Oreochromis niloticus: one gene and its partner. The protein of the gene in region 2 interacts with the protein of the main gene of each other region in a biochemical or structural test. Links are inferred from orthologs where the notes say so. Each region holds a gene or a part of one and is shown on either strand. Other genes may lie near its edges.

Region 1 (6,941 bases), about 150 kb from region 2:
GCATTTGTATAATTTGTGTATCCTTTCTGGTAAAATACCCAGAATGTAGGCATTACAGTGGTCCCTCGCTATAATGCGGTTCACCTTTGGCGCCTCGCTGTTTTGTGTGCAATTTTGCACGCTTTTTGTTTTTTTACAGCGCATCGTGTTCTGCGTCCTGATTGGCTGTAGACCATGGTCAGTCAATCTCGTGCCGTGTCTCCTGTACAGTGCAGAATGCGTTCAGCTTGTCAAATTTACATAAATCTTCGATCACTAGCAGTGTGACTCTGAAGTGCTGGACCGCGGGTGCCTTTGGTTTCATTCTATAATACTGGACTTATTTTTCTACAAAGGTTTGAACTTTGAGAGAGTTTAAACAAGAGAGAAAAGTGTGAAAATGTTCATGCCTTTCTGAGAAAAGTGTATAAAGTGTGTAGTGAGGGGTTTTACAGCCTTAAAACATCTATAACAATTGTAAAAAATAAAGTTGGCTACTTCGCGGATTTCATTTATTGCGGGTTATTTTTAGAACGTAACTCCCGCATAAACACATACATTTATACAGTATGTGTAATTCAGTTTAACTTGCTCTCGCCTTGCTGTGACCTTTATACGTACCTCACTGTGGAGCAATGCAGGGGCATCTGTGATGGTCCGGGCCCATTCCTGATATGTTGCAATGTCCATCACTCCGTCCCTATTTAGTTTAGCTCTCATACTAACAGCACTTTGTAGGGTACCTCCCTTGACTGATGTCATCACCTCATCCACCATAGCTTTTCCTTCAGCCTTACCTGTGTGGCAACAGAAAAGGAAACTTTAGTGACTTTTCATAATCAGTGCAGTGACTCGCTCCAAATTCAGTTTTAGACTTTAACTTTGGATTTGAACTTTACTGTTTTAATACAGTTAAGTTTCATGCATACAGCATTCCTTTCTTCGTTTTCTTTTTTCCGGACTAGTTGAAGTAAAACACCCAAATACACTTAAACTGTGAAAAGTGGTTGGGAATTTAGTCAGAATCATCAAGCATGCTAGCTTTGTTCATTTAACCTGGAAAAACAGGGAATGCAAACCTTCGTTCTTTTCTGTTTTATTATCACAATTTTTAGGCTTATAGTGTCCGCTTAAACTGTCCGTCGTATGTATGGAACTGAGGCCTCCTTCAATGCCTAATGTGACGCACTCTTGAACTTCTCTCTGCGTCATATCTGCAAGAACAATAAAGTATAGATAATTAGTGCTTATCACTTGTATTTAATCAACATACCATAAGGCTGAAGAAGCTTCATAGCAGAAAAGAATTATTTCAAATAGACATACTTCTTTGCTTAATGGTGTCATGGTCGAGGACATAGATCAATTCGTATTCACCGCCGGTTTTCCCATTTTTTGTGTAATGGGTTCCATAGTCCTCCAGGAAGGCAAAATAAATTCCCTTCTCGTATTGCAAAGGTAAAGATTTGACATGCGCCAGGAATTCATCTGCTACTTTGAGCTCACGGGAGCGCATCCTGTAGGTGCTCAATTGTACTTTGCCCTTCACCCGCATAAAGGTGTTGTTCTAAGTTTGTGGGGTCGAAAAAAATAGAGATGCAGCTTGTCCATAGAATATTGATTATTCTGGGTTGTACATTAGATTCTGTGAAATTATTAGAGGATATTTACCTTAATTTTGGTGTTTTCGGTGACCGTTTTAATCATTGATTTCTTCTCATACTGACTCTCTAGTTTAAAATTTAGAGAAGTATTGGACAAAGACACCTCAGTTGGGGTGAATTTGAAAGAAAGACCAGCATCAATGTTGACACTCATCTCAGTGAGGATTTCACGCAGAAGGCTGTGAGTGTTTTCGAAGAGTTCTTTCGAAGCTGTTTCCTCCACTAATGTCTGAGACAACGGAATACATATATCAGTATTAGGTGGCAAAACAAAATCCTTTACATGTGTTCACGATCAGTTTATAATACTGAAATTTTTTTTGTTGCCATGGTTAACCTGATAGTTAAGCACGCCGACGTTCCAGGGCAGCCTGTCAAACGTCCCAGTGTTTGGATTCCTCACTCGATCACATCTCCCATTGAAGTAATCATTGTTGAATGGGTTCATTCGAGGATCTGTACCCAAGATGTTGATTCTGGTGGATGAACATAGAGGCCACTTTAAGACTTTTACAGTGTTATCCCAGTTCAAGAGTTTTAATATTATAGAAGGCCTCCTCATTCTCCTTCTTTGTGAGAGTCAGGTGAAAAGACTGATACCACTCGTGCACTCTATCTATCCATTAAACAGGATGTTAAAGTCGGAAGATCCAGGTTAAATAGCTTAGACTCTGGGTAAAATAGCCAGTACTTCCATCCAGACAAAGATTTCCTCTTATGTGAGCTGGTCATTCTTTATGATTTCAGTTAAATATAAAAAGCCATAAAAAGATAAATTGTCTGTTTAATAGGATAAAGTTCAAACCTGGCCAAGCATGGTTGGTTAGTGGCCTCAAATTAAGTACGCACAGCAAGCTCCCAGTACCCAAAGTCTATCCCTTGCCTGAAGATTCTGCATTTTTATAAGCCGATATCTTTTTGTAGGTTTGTTTCCTGCCTCATTTATGACACCTATCAGTGAAATTAAGGTGTTCATCAGTCTTTTGGTGAAAAATTTCATAACAGACCAGCTATTGTTAAAAATATTAAGAAACAAAATCTGTGAATTTTTTTGCTCAAAAGCAGCTCACATTTAAAACGCCAACTCTGCTAGGAAGCTGGTTTTCTGTAAACATTATCACCAATAGATGTTTATGTAGATGTTCACCCCAATGTAAATGATTTACTCTTTCTACCAAGTATTCATTTTACTTTGCTAATTTATACTGACTCTTTATTTCCCACTGACTGAGCTCTTTAATAACTTACCCATATCCTGCTGTCCTGCCTTGCTCATTGCTGTCAAGGACTGCCGAGCCACAGGGTTTACGCTCTGTCTCACAGTCTTCATCTGATCCATCTTCACAGTCATAGTCTCCGTTGCACATTAATCTCCTTTTAATGCAAGACCCTGTGCAGAGACAGAGAATTGCATGATACTGCTCCCCAAAAACAAAGCGATAAAGACAGAGGTACTAATACTGTGGTACCTGACTCGCACTGGAACTCTGAGTCTGAGCATGCACGGGGAGGCGGTAGCTCGCATTCACCATCAGCTACACAGAACTCCCTGTCTCCTATCGATTCCTGGCAGGCTCTACCTCCAAACTGGCCAAATGCTTCTACACTTCGAGAACGCCTCTGAGGATAATACATAGTGTCACATTAAAGATAAAGGCAGAGAGCAGCACTGCAAAAGAAGATTGGCTGTTATGAGCCGCACTGTGCATAGGTAGCAGACCCCTACTTCACCCTGTTTAGTCTGATTATTTATTATTATAGACTTAAAAAGTTAAAAGCATTCTAGCTTGGGCACTAAAGTTCACAGTCTCTGACACTGACCAAAATCCTAATTGACTCACTCTGGTTTTTGTGCAGGGATCACAAGAACTCCACCCTGACCAACGACTCCATGCACAGTCCACAGCTGGTGGATCAGGATTAGCCCTAAAATACACAAATTAGACACAATAAACTCTCTAAATAATAATAGTAAATGATTAAACAAACATCCTTAATGTTGTGTAAGTGAAGCAGGAAATATACATACATGCCTTCCCCAAGAAGTGCCAGAGTTAGACAGAGGCCAGCGAGGGCCAACTGGAGAGCGACTTCAAGCCTCATCATGAACCTTTGACAGCACAAATGATACCGTGCCTGTCCCCATTTAGTCCTTTAAGCTGCCACCTTGTTAATGATTATCCAACTGCAAAAGGACAGTGTTTTTGTTGTTGTCACAGTCAATAATTTGGATTTCAGGTGCAGCAAAAATCAATTCAGTGCTCGGAAACTCCCAAAGCAGACTTTACAGTGTTTGTCTGCATATAAACATCTTACTCACACAGTGAAGTCAATCTTTTATTCTTCACAATGCGAGCAAAGCACCCGCAAAAACACAATAACTACTATAAAAGTAAGTAATAAATCCTCTCCTTTCATAATCTATAGAAAGCGGTTATTTTTTTCATTACATTCATTTGTTTGATTAGTTATGAGCTAGTGTGTTGGTAAGGAAAACCATGATTTACTACAATAACAGAGAAAGATTGTGTTTCTAAGTATTACAATTTCCTGCTAAATGCCACCAAAATATAACAAATGAAAAATACATTGAAATGATAAAAGTGCAAATTGGACACCCTATTAAATTTATTTGGGCAAAAAAGTGCTACACTCCATAGCTCTTTGGATATTTTCTATTGGATTCTCTTTATAATATTAATTCACAATTTAATTTAATTGAAAATATATGAATTTATTAAGAACCACGTATTTCATCTGTAGCCTAATATACAACAAAAAAGAATGAACCATTATTCAATTTTTAAGTAAATATAAAAATGTGTTTTAAAACTATGGGAAGGTGTAAATGATCCCAAGCACTGGGTTTAAAGCAGAGACGCACATTTAGAAATTATATATAATTATTCTTTTTTCTGTTTATTTTCAGATTTCTTCTTTTGAGACATTGTTTTTAAGACCATTTGTTCATGTTCGTGTTTCCAGGATTACGCAACCATGCAAACAAGTCTGCAGCAAAGCAGAACAAATATTTAAAGACTCAGTTCTTGACTGTTGTAATACATTGGCATGATGCATCCACGGTACATTTAGGTCATCGTCTAAGATTGGGAAATGGAATGACAACACTAAATGTGAAAATGAATTTTCATTCAGTCCCACTGCTGAAAAAAAAAAGGTTGAATTTAGTGTAGCTGGTGTGCTGAAGTAGAGCTCTTTGTCCACCAGATGGCAACGCTGAACAGGAAACAGTAGTGTTAGTTTTGTCCTTTCTTTCACTCATACTCAGTTTTTGGGTTTAGGTGGAAGGAACATTGTTTACTCTGCAGTTGTAGAGTCTGGAAAGCAATGTGTAATGCATACACATGAATCCAAGTATTTCTCAAGTATCTGTTTTCTTTGTTAAATATACCTTTAAAAATAAATAAATAAAAAAAGCCTTGCACAACGCACAGTGAGGTTTGAACTGTTGCACCCAATCTATCATGTGATCGGGGAGACTTTTGCTGAGTGTGCAGAACTTTGTTCTTCAAGTGGAGCGAGTGCAGTTTGTATAATTTTTTTTAAGGCAAAATAGATTAGTTCTTAGTGAAGAATGCTGAAAGTAGTCTTTAAATGTAGGCAAGCAATAATTAAACTGCAATAAAAGTTTGAAAAGCTGATTAGTCACGATCGGGGCAATTATTATTAACAGAGCAGAGAGAACATTTGTAAAGTGCTGGGAGGTGAAGGGCTGACAAGTTTTTGCTTTTGTTGCTCTGAGGGAGTAACACTGATCTTTAATTCCAGAATATTCTGCATGCTCACAGGTACTTTTCTGCTGACTTCAACAAATAAACTCAGTCCTTTCCCTGATATCTCCAGAGTCATTCTGGGGGCTGCCCCGTGCTGGTTCTTTCCCTGTATCTGCAAACAAAGCTGGGGTATTCTAGGGGCTGTGTGGTCGTGGCCTAATGGAGAGGCACAAATATGTGCTGAAGTCACCACTTTTATGAGTTTCGACAGTTTCCTCCCTGCTTTCCCAGGAAACCAAAGGGTAGTTAAGGTGCTTGGCAAATGTTTCTCCTGACTAGAAAGACTTCCTGTTTTTTGAGGGGGAGCTGAAACTGTGTGGAAACACTTGTGGGACAGCATACTACACAGTCGCTCTACTACCAGTAGAATGCTGTCATCGTATTTATCAGAATACCATGACGGTGCTTCCTGCACTGCCATTTGCCCCACTGCTGTGTGTTGTTCTTTAAGAACTAGCTGCTAAAGACACTTGAGGGTTAAAGAACAAAGAGGGACATAGACAAAAAAAATCTACCTCAATTATGGCTTGGAGATAAGTGGCTATCTTTGGTTCTGGCTGTGGTGGCAGGCAGTCCCAGGATTCACGCCCTAAAATGCTTGATGTTTGGATTGTGGCCTTCCTGTCATAAACTAAGGGAAGGACACTTCCCATTAGACTTTCTCTGTCAGCATTCCATCATGAAATAAAGGCTCTAATGTGCCAGTGCTGACTTTTGCCATCTGTACACTGTTTTTTTTCTGTTTTTGCAAAGAGTTTCTTAAAACGTAGTTTTTAAGTACAGACAGTAGCATCAAACATGTACTTGTGTGTGCAAGTGCTAGTAGCACTGGGTGTGCCACTGACCTCAACTGACAATGAATCACTTTTAGAAGAACAAGGAACCATATCTTTTATCACAAGTCACTGGACAATGGTGCTGAATTGGAAAGACACGTCATGGCAGGAAAACATGATTCTTGTACTGATGTGCATGGAAGAAAAAAACAAAACAACTAACCATACATAATAATAGACACTACCAACATCCGTCTAAATACAGCATGTTGTCACATGCATATTCTTTCCAGATGATCTGCAAATGTAGGCAAATATCTGATAACATCAAAGTCTTTAATAAGAGGTTCTGAAAAAGACCATTCCAGCGGTTGGTGACCAAAGGGGAAAACAGACTCTCAGCGAGACAGTAATCTGGCTTCCGTGGGGCTCATCTCCTAAAAACCAGCCTCCGTCAGCAGAACACAGGATACAGAGTCAGGAAAGACATCCTTCCTCTGTCCTTTTCTCTCTCATTTCTCAGCTCTAAACCCACAAAACACAATATACTGTACATCTGTTAACATCAACAACACATCGCGCTTGCACTTTTTGAGAAATCTGCACACGGATCAGGTTTGAAGTCCTCATGCAGAATTTGCAATCTGGTGAATTAGCTGAGGTATACCGAGATTATTTCTCCTTTTTATTTCACATTTACAATGAATGCAATTGGGGGATAAATAGAA
Region 2 (7,393 bases):
ATTACAATTTAAAATTTTCTAATGTGCTAAATGTGTGAAGTTGGGACTATGGGCAAATGAATTATTGCACATAGGTGCTGAGTGTGTAAATCTTTGGTATGCAGGCAGGAAAGTGGCACAGTGTAGCAGTTTACCTAAGCTCTAGGGGAAACTTATGAAAAAACTTCATAAGTTTCCCATGCTTGTTATTACAGCACTGATGTTGTGCTTTAGGAAGGGGGAAACAATACACAGGATTAGAAGTGTCTAAGCTGACACAACTTCTTCTCCTGTTCCGGTGTGTGCTCAGGTGAGAGCAGTGGAAAGAATTGCACGCTCTCCCTGAGGAATTTAGACAGAGCCAAACAACACAGTGTCTCTCCAACACAGACTGTAAACGGTGGCCGGTACAGCCTGTGGAGCACACAGACATGAGCTGCGCAGACGGTGCCTTGACATCAGAGTGTCTGGCCTCAGTCATGTGACCAGAGAGGTCTGGGAGCGGTGCACTGAGCTATCACAGCTCATCACAGACAACACACGCAGCTTTAGTATGCGGTATGCACACAGAGGCTGGGCTTTGTTTGTGGTAGAAACAAATGAAAACTTGACCATTACTTAACTTGTTAGTGATGATAACGCCAAAACAGGTTGGTCTAATGCAACTAAAACCGACTCATTTAAATATAAAGGGAAAAATGAACAACAACCAGCAAGAGGCAGGATGTTTGTTTCACACAAAAACCATAATTAGTGTAATGTTTTCACTCTCTGGTAATCTTAGAAAATTGCTACTGATTCTCAAGGCTGTTGGGTTGAACCACCACTCAATCCAGTTACAAAACCTCAACAAGCCCTTCCTCTGAAGGCAGAGCCATACTGGTTTGATTTGAGAGACAGCTGAAGAAAATGAGGCAGCCAAAAGGATGTGTGTCACTCCTGTCCACCACTTTATTAACTTCACTCTTTGCCGTGTCATTCGGACGCTGTGTGTGAAGTGTGGGACAATATATAAGACAACATACTGGCTGTCTCTATACTGCCTACTCAGTGCTAATCTGTTAAACATAAGGTCATCATGGTTTTGCTACAACAATCCAATGACTCAGGCATTTCAGCACATAGGCCACATCTTGCACTTTTGCGCCAGAACTTCCATTAAGAAACCAAACTCTTGCTTAGATTTCGTACAGAGAAAGAAAAAGGAAATGAAACAAAGCCTGCAAATAAATCCAAGGAGTAGAAATGTTGCAGCTGGTGACCAGTCCAGTGCTGCAACTATGACAGATAAACGGCACTGCCTGAATTCCTAAAGAACTTGTATATTCAGCTGAGGAGATCCATTTTGTATAGATGACAAACAAGGGCAAAACAAAAAATGTAATGAAAACATCGGAAAAAAAGGTGAAAGATCATGGGATGTGAATGGGGAAAACCTCTCTGCTTAGCAGTATAACAAACAAACTGAAAAACTCAATATGTCTGATAGAGATGATGATGATTTGTAGTCGAGTCAAAAGGGAATAGGATGCATCTCCTCCCAGTGCCAAGTATGTGCGCTCATGTGTGTCCTGCATGTTAAACACACAGCTGATCGCTACCATCACTGGATTCTCTTGTGGCTCACAGCAGGGCACAAAGGGCAGATTGAAGAGTCAGGAGTGTCTCTGATCGCTCCTCTTTTTGCCATTTAGACATTGATGAACTCTCATTTAGGAACAAAAAAGGTGTTAGTGGGTAACAGCAGTGTTATTGGTAATTACTTCAAGCACTTAGCTTAATGTTGTTTTCCACAAATATTCATTACAGTCCCTTTATAAGCCCTGGATCACCTCCAGAGTTCAACTAAGGCTAAAACTTAAGGATGTGTTTGTCCACCTTAAAGAAGACAAGAACAGATTCTGATTGGTTGTTTCAAGCTGAGAGTCCTGTTGTATTATATATAAATGAGTAACAGATTAACAAAAAGAACAGAAAAAGAAAGGGGGAAGTTACAACATTTAGCTACAAATTTACTTATGGGTTTTATTCAAAACTATGTCGCTGTTAGAATTTGTAACATTTAAGCTATAACGCATAACCCATACTTGTTATAGTGAAATACATACACCGTCTTGACATGGAGTAGCCCTAATGAGGCTAATGCTGTGCGAGTTTCACTTCTAATGGCACTATCTTTGTGACTTCGGTGTAGTGTAACAAGTAGTAAAGGCAGACTTCTAGTTTCCCACCTGCTTTGACACAGCCACGTCAAATTATTATCGGAAGAGAAATGACCTTTAGGCAGTACGCAGAAAGCGCTGAGCTCAGCTTAACACAGCCTGTGGTCTGCGGCACCAGCTGTACGAAATAAAGTATCGCTAATTAGGTTGGTATTGATGCTTTTAAATTTATTCTAACTTACTAACATCTGGTGTCTCACTGAAACTTTGTCACGGAAGAAAATGACGCGTACGACCAACGGCTATGACTGACAGCCGAGGCGTCCAATAGCATTCAGGGAACTGACCATATACGTTCCAAGCGATCCTGACCGAGCCAATTGACAGAGAACAGGGGTGGACGCTTCGACGTTTCAAGTTAGATTGGTTCACAGAGGCCCAAACCCCGGGGTAGCAAAATATTTGCCGAAGGAAATTAGCGGTGGCCGCGGGGTTGCTGACCAGGACACTGCGACTTCAGAGGGAACTAAGCTTGTGAGCTAGACGACTTCCTCTGCAAAACGAATAACACTTGATTCCTGATTGGCATGAACATGATAAGCAGGGAACATAGCATGAGAATAGCGCCGGTGTAAACACCGTGAATAAAAAAGCACCACCTACCCAGAAATTCTCTAGGAAGTACGGCGTTATCATCTTGCTTTATTCCTCTTCGCCACAACTCTTCAATTTGTTGTAATGCAACTTTTGAAGCGTATATCATCCACCGTCCTCCCCCTGTTTCTCTTGTATCTGCCTTTCCCCGTTTTCCTCCTCTCCCCTTTCTTCTCCCTCCCCACCTACAGACTCCACCTCCACCCGGCTATACTGCGTCTCTCCCCTATGGTTTATTCCCGTAGAAATGTAGACGTTCAGTGGGTGAAACAGCGCTATCAATGGCGAAGAGAGACACCACAGTCGCCGGGTGAAATGCTGCCTTCAAATGCTTTACGTACATTTGAAGGCAGCATTTCACACAGAAGGCCAAAATTGACTAAAATACACATAAACTCTAACGCAGCTATGTGAAAATAATAGTATATAAAAATAAATAATAAGATATTATTAGCTATATTACTGTTTGTTTTAGTCAGCATTACAAATTCAGCATCTACAGATATGTCTCCCTGTTTAATAAATCTATGTGCCGATTTGTTGTGCACTAGTGGGTAAAGATTATTCATACCCGTTTAAACGTCATTTTCCAGTGGGATTGTTTATTCAACACACGTTCCACAAATATTGCAAAAGCAAATACTCTTGTTACGGTTGTGGTTTATTTAAAGCATAAGAAAAGGTCTTCTAACACCAAGTCTATGAATAAGCCTTTACATTTATTTAAACTGATTTATAGATTTGTAGCAGTATGTCACTTTTCAAGGTTTTGCAAATCATCATCTGTCAGGCAACAAGCATCTAGGTTTTGGAATAAATTGTCTTTCCACGTTAGACAGTTACATTGTTCATTTTTAAATCTTGTCTTAAACACCTGTATATTGCCTGGCCTTTGACCCAGTGTGAGACGTTGATCTTACTTGTTTTTAATTGTACGATAGTTGTTTTTGTAAATGATTGCTTTCACTCTACTTATTCACTTTTGTGTACAACCAGTTTGCATCTGCTGTGGCTGTTTCAAAGTGCTTTATAGATAAATATTGTATTTAAAGGCCCATTTAGAGTCGGCACAGTGGACAGAGTCTGTTATTTGTGTAATTCAAATTTCACAAAGCCTGATAATTTACCAGTGACATTGCAAAGAAAAAAAAAAAACCTTGGAGAAAATACATGATAAAGGCCCACAATAATGTAAACAATTTATTGGAACAATGTACAGATTCAAGCAATGGTAACCAGTCACACCCACTATATCATCTTACAAATATTACAAAATTACTACAGTACAATATAGAGTCTTTGCATGATCCAAAAAATTTGGTGGCCCCAAAAGTATTACTTATTTTTAAAATTCAGCAGCTTATAAAAAAAAAGAAGAAAAATCAAAACATGTCGATGAGAATGTTTTCACTTTCATTAGCAAAAGGATGAAGGCAGATAATCTAATCAAGTTTAAAGGCTAATTAAACTGTAGACTACTAGAGCTCCTTGACTAGACATTCCTTAATATTAATGGGTGCTTTATAAAATACAAATTTTTCAATAAAGCTTCATAGAAAGTCAAACCTATATTTGCAGAGAGTTTTTAAGTTGTCAACATATGCAATTACTTTTAAATCAGCTTTCACCTGCATCTCTACATACAGTGTACTGTATTTCTATTGCAAAACCCCAGCAAAAATCCTCAAAGTATTTGCATTCAAGGCATTGTGCAGAGATTACACCATTTACCTAAGCCTGATAACAATCACGTTTGACAATAAGGATGTAAAAGTAGGAATCATTCCTACTTCCTGGTTTCCAACTGTAATCCCACTGTTCAGCTAGCAGTGTTGCATGTATTAACGCTAATGTGAATTAACACCCATTTTGAAGATGATGGGGTGGGTTTTTAAACCAATCTTTCCTTGTTTGAAAAGATGTGGAAAGGTGGAGACATGAGGAAACCAATTAAAAACCAACCAACAAACACACACATACACACTAGACATAAACACAACCTGAGGTTAACACAAAAACATATTCATATAGTGAAACACAAGTACAATGTATAGCAGCAGTTACGTCAAAATTATAGCACAGTAGAAATTGGGATTGTTGTGTGTTTTGTAGTACTACTATCTTTTGAAGAAAGAACAGAAGTGTGTGCACATCCACCCCGTCAAGCTGCGATTACTTCATATTTTTGCAAGCCAAACAGCTGGAATGTGACAAGACAAAAATCACTTCTAAACACATAAAGATGTGACACATACGAGTATTTGCCTCTGTATTCCATGATGCATTATAACCTGCATTCATCGTGTACGTCCTCAAAACATGTTTCATCTAACATTAGTAATACACTTCATAATGTGGCAGTTGAGCCAATACATTAAACTACTTCTACACTCCAATATCCCAATTGGATCAAGATGCTTAATGCATTAAGGTCCACACATTTTAGCAGCAATGCTTAACGATCTGTCGGGTCATATTCTAAAGTGTTTGGCTACATCATTCATTTTAAGCACTTGCTAAGTAAGTAAGTCGGTAAGCAAGTAAGTAAATTGTAGGTGCATCACAAAGGATTTAAATACTGCAGTTATTACTCTGGCCAGCAGAGGAAGAATGGATGGGCATAAAAAATAAAAAAAATTAAAATTAAACAAAACAATAATATAAAAATAAAAAAAAAATAAAAATCCATCATGGAATACATTCAGGCCATCTGCAACTTAAACATATAGATTAAAAAAAAAGAAAAACATAACACTGCAACACAAGAAGACAACAACATGTAATTTCACAGTATTTAAAATCTACACATCCAACTACAGGTGAAACGTGAGGGAGAGAACACTCCAGCAAGATTACTGTGAAGACTTTAAAAGTCACAGTGATGCTGAACATAAGTGGTTGCTATAAAAAAAATAAATAAAGCAAAAACTTGATTGAAGCTCCTGCAACCTTCCCACTTTAAGTTGGGGTGTAAGGGGCCACCAACATGCAAAAGATGAAAGTACCCCACAGTGACAACCACCCAAAACATTAGAAAGTCATCCTCAAGATCATGCTTTTAGCACAAAAATTCCAACAATCAATAACAAAAACGTCAGTACATTGAGAAATTAACATAGTTAACATTGATTTGATGGTTTATATGGTTCTGACGACCAAAGTCACAAAAAATCAAAATAAAAAAAAAAATTAAAAAAAATCACTGAGACAGGATTTGTGTCATTGTGATATTTACGTCCAAAACACAATGACACAATAATCAACAAACAGGATCTTGTTATCCTGCATGCTTCTCCTTCATTTGTCCTTTCCGAGGCTCAGACAATATAAAAGGATAAAGTAAGCATCTGAAGCTTTGATATGCCTGCAGATGAATGTCCATGTCACATTCACGCCACAAGACCAAACAATGATTCACTCGGACATCACGCCACAGCCAAGATTTTACACATTTTCCTAAAAGTCAGTGTGTGTAAAGCCCGTCATGCTACATTACAGCTGATTGCCGTAAATCTCCAGTAGAAGAAAACATGAGTACTGTAAATACAAGACCCAAAAAAAGAACCTTATCAAAGCTCAACGACAGCTGTCAACACATTTCACTACAGCTTTTCCACAATGATATACACATGCTACCCATTTTCAGAAAAGCTGCTCATTTAAAGAACAACCACCCACCCCCCCCCAAAAAACAAAAAAAAACTATGTGCTCCTTGTGACAAAACAGCCTTTTCTATAGGAACTTTAAACCATCTCTGTACTTACAAGAAATGTGTCTCAAAGAACCTTCAGCTTTACTTCACAATACTTCTCGTTTACGCTTATAAACGCATATCTGAGCAGAAGACCTACATTTCTCCTTGTCTAACAAAAAGTACAGGGTTTTGTAAAGATTTCTCCATTTTTGCATTCATTTCTTCTCAGTAGTCCAGAAAACAAGATGTTTGGAGAATAAATGGAGAGGAAAAAGCAAAAACAAACAAACAAACAAAAAAAAAACAACAACAACAACCAACAAACTACAATTTCTGATTGAGATATGATTAGATGAATTTTCCTCCAGTGATAAGGTTGTCCTGCCAGTCCCTTTTGCCCCTTTGCCTGTGCATAGGGGCACTGAGAACTGTAGCTATCATCTCCCTCCCACCCCATCCACCAGGTCAAGGAGGGGGTCAGCACCCCTTCCCCTTCCCTCAGCAGGCAGATCCTTCCCCCCAGTAAAGGGTAACATGCTCCCTGGGATGGTTCCCGATATTGTCTCCCATAGTGAATGACCTGTATATAGAGAAAACCCTGATTAGGATGCAGCATTTTGGGTTAAATAATAAAAATTATTTTCAGAGTGGAACCGACCCCAACGATGAGGCACGTGCTGTGGAAACAGTTACACCCCGTAAAAGGTTGCCAACCGTTCCTTCAGTGGCATTGGAAACTGATCTGCGAAGCGTCTCCAGTTGTCGTCTCCCACCTGGTTCTTAAACCCATGAAGGATCTGAAATTAAACACCACGAGATGTTTATACTGAGGAGTGCCTTTCAAAATAAATCCTGTGCACATAAAGTGTCAACTGCAAAAGCTGCCATTCCTGAATTTGGTCA

What was found.
Region 1: the proteins of fcho2 (region 2) and disabled homolog 2 form a complex in vitro, tested with the Homo sapiens proteins (2 studies listed by BioGRID). The link is inferred for Oreochromis niloticus from reciprocal best matches to the Homo sapiens genes FCHO2 and DAB2.

What each region holds. Positions count from the first base shown.
Region 1 is NC_031972.2:13,876,475-13,883,415, reverse strand, and holds the start of disabled homolog 2, read left to right. Parts: upstream 1-3,906; 5' UTR 3,907-4,035; intron 4,036-6,941. Other genes in the region: complement component C9, read right to left, coding at 601-776, 1,059-1,193, 1,306-1,546, 1,651-1,872, 1,981-2,119, 2,892-3,033, 3,113-3,263, 3,485-3,569 and 1 more. UniProt on the Homo sapiens protein: Adapter protein that functions as a clathrin-associated sorting protein (CLASP) required for clathrin-mediated endocytosis of selected cargo proteins.
Region 2 is NC_031972.2:14,029,192-14,036,584, reverse strand, and holds the start of fcho2 (F-BAR domain only protein 2), read right to left. Parts: upstream 3,034-7,393; 5' UTR 2,838-3,033; coding exon 2,805-2,837; intron 1-2,804. Other genes in the region: tnpo1 (transportin-1), read right to left, coding at 7,180-7,287. UniProt on the Homo sapiens protein: Functions in an early step of clathrin-mediated endocytosis. Has both a membrane binding/bending activity and the ability to recruit proteins essential to the formation of functional clathrin-coated pits.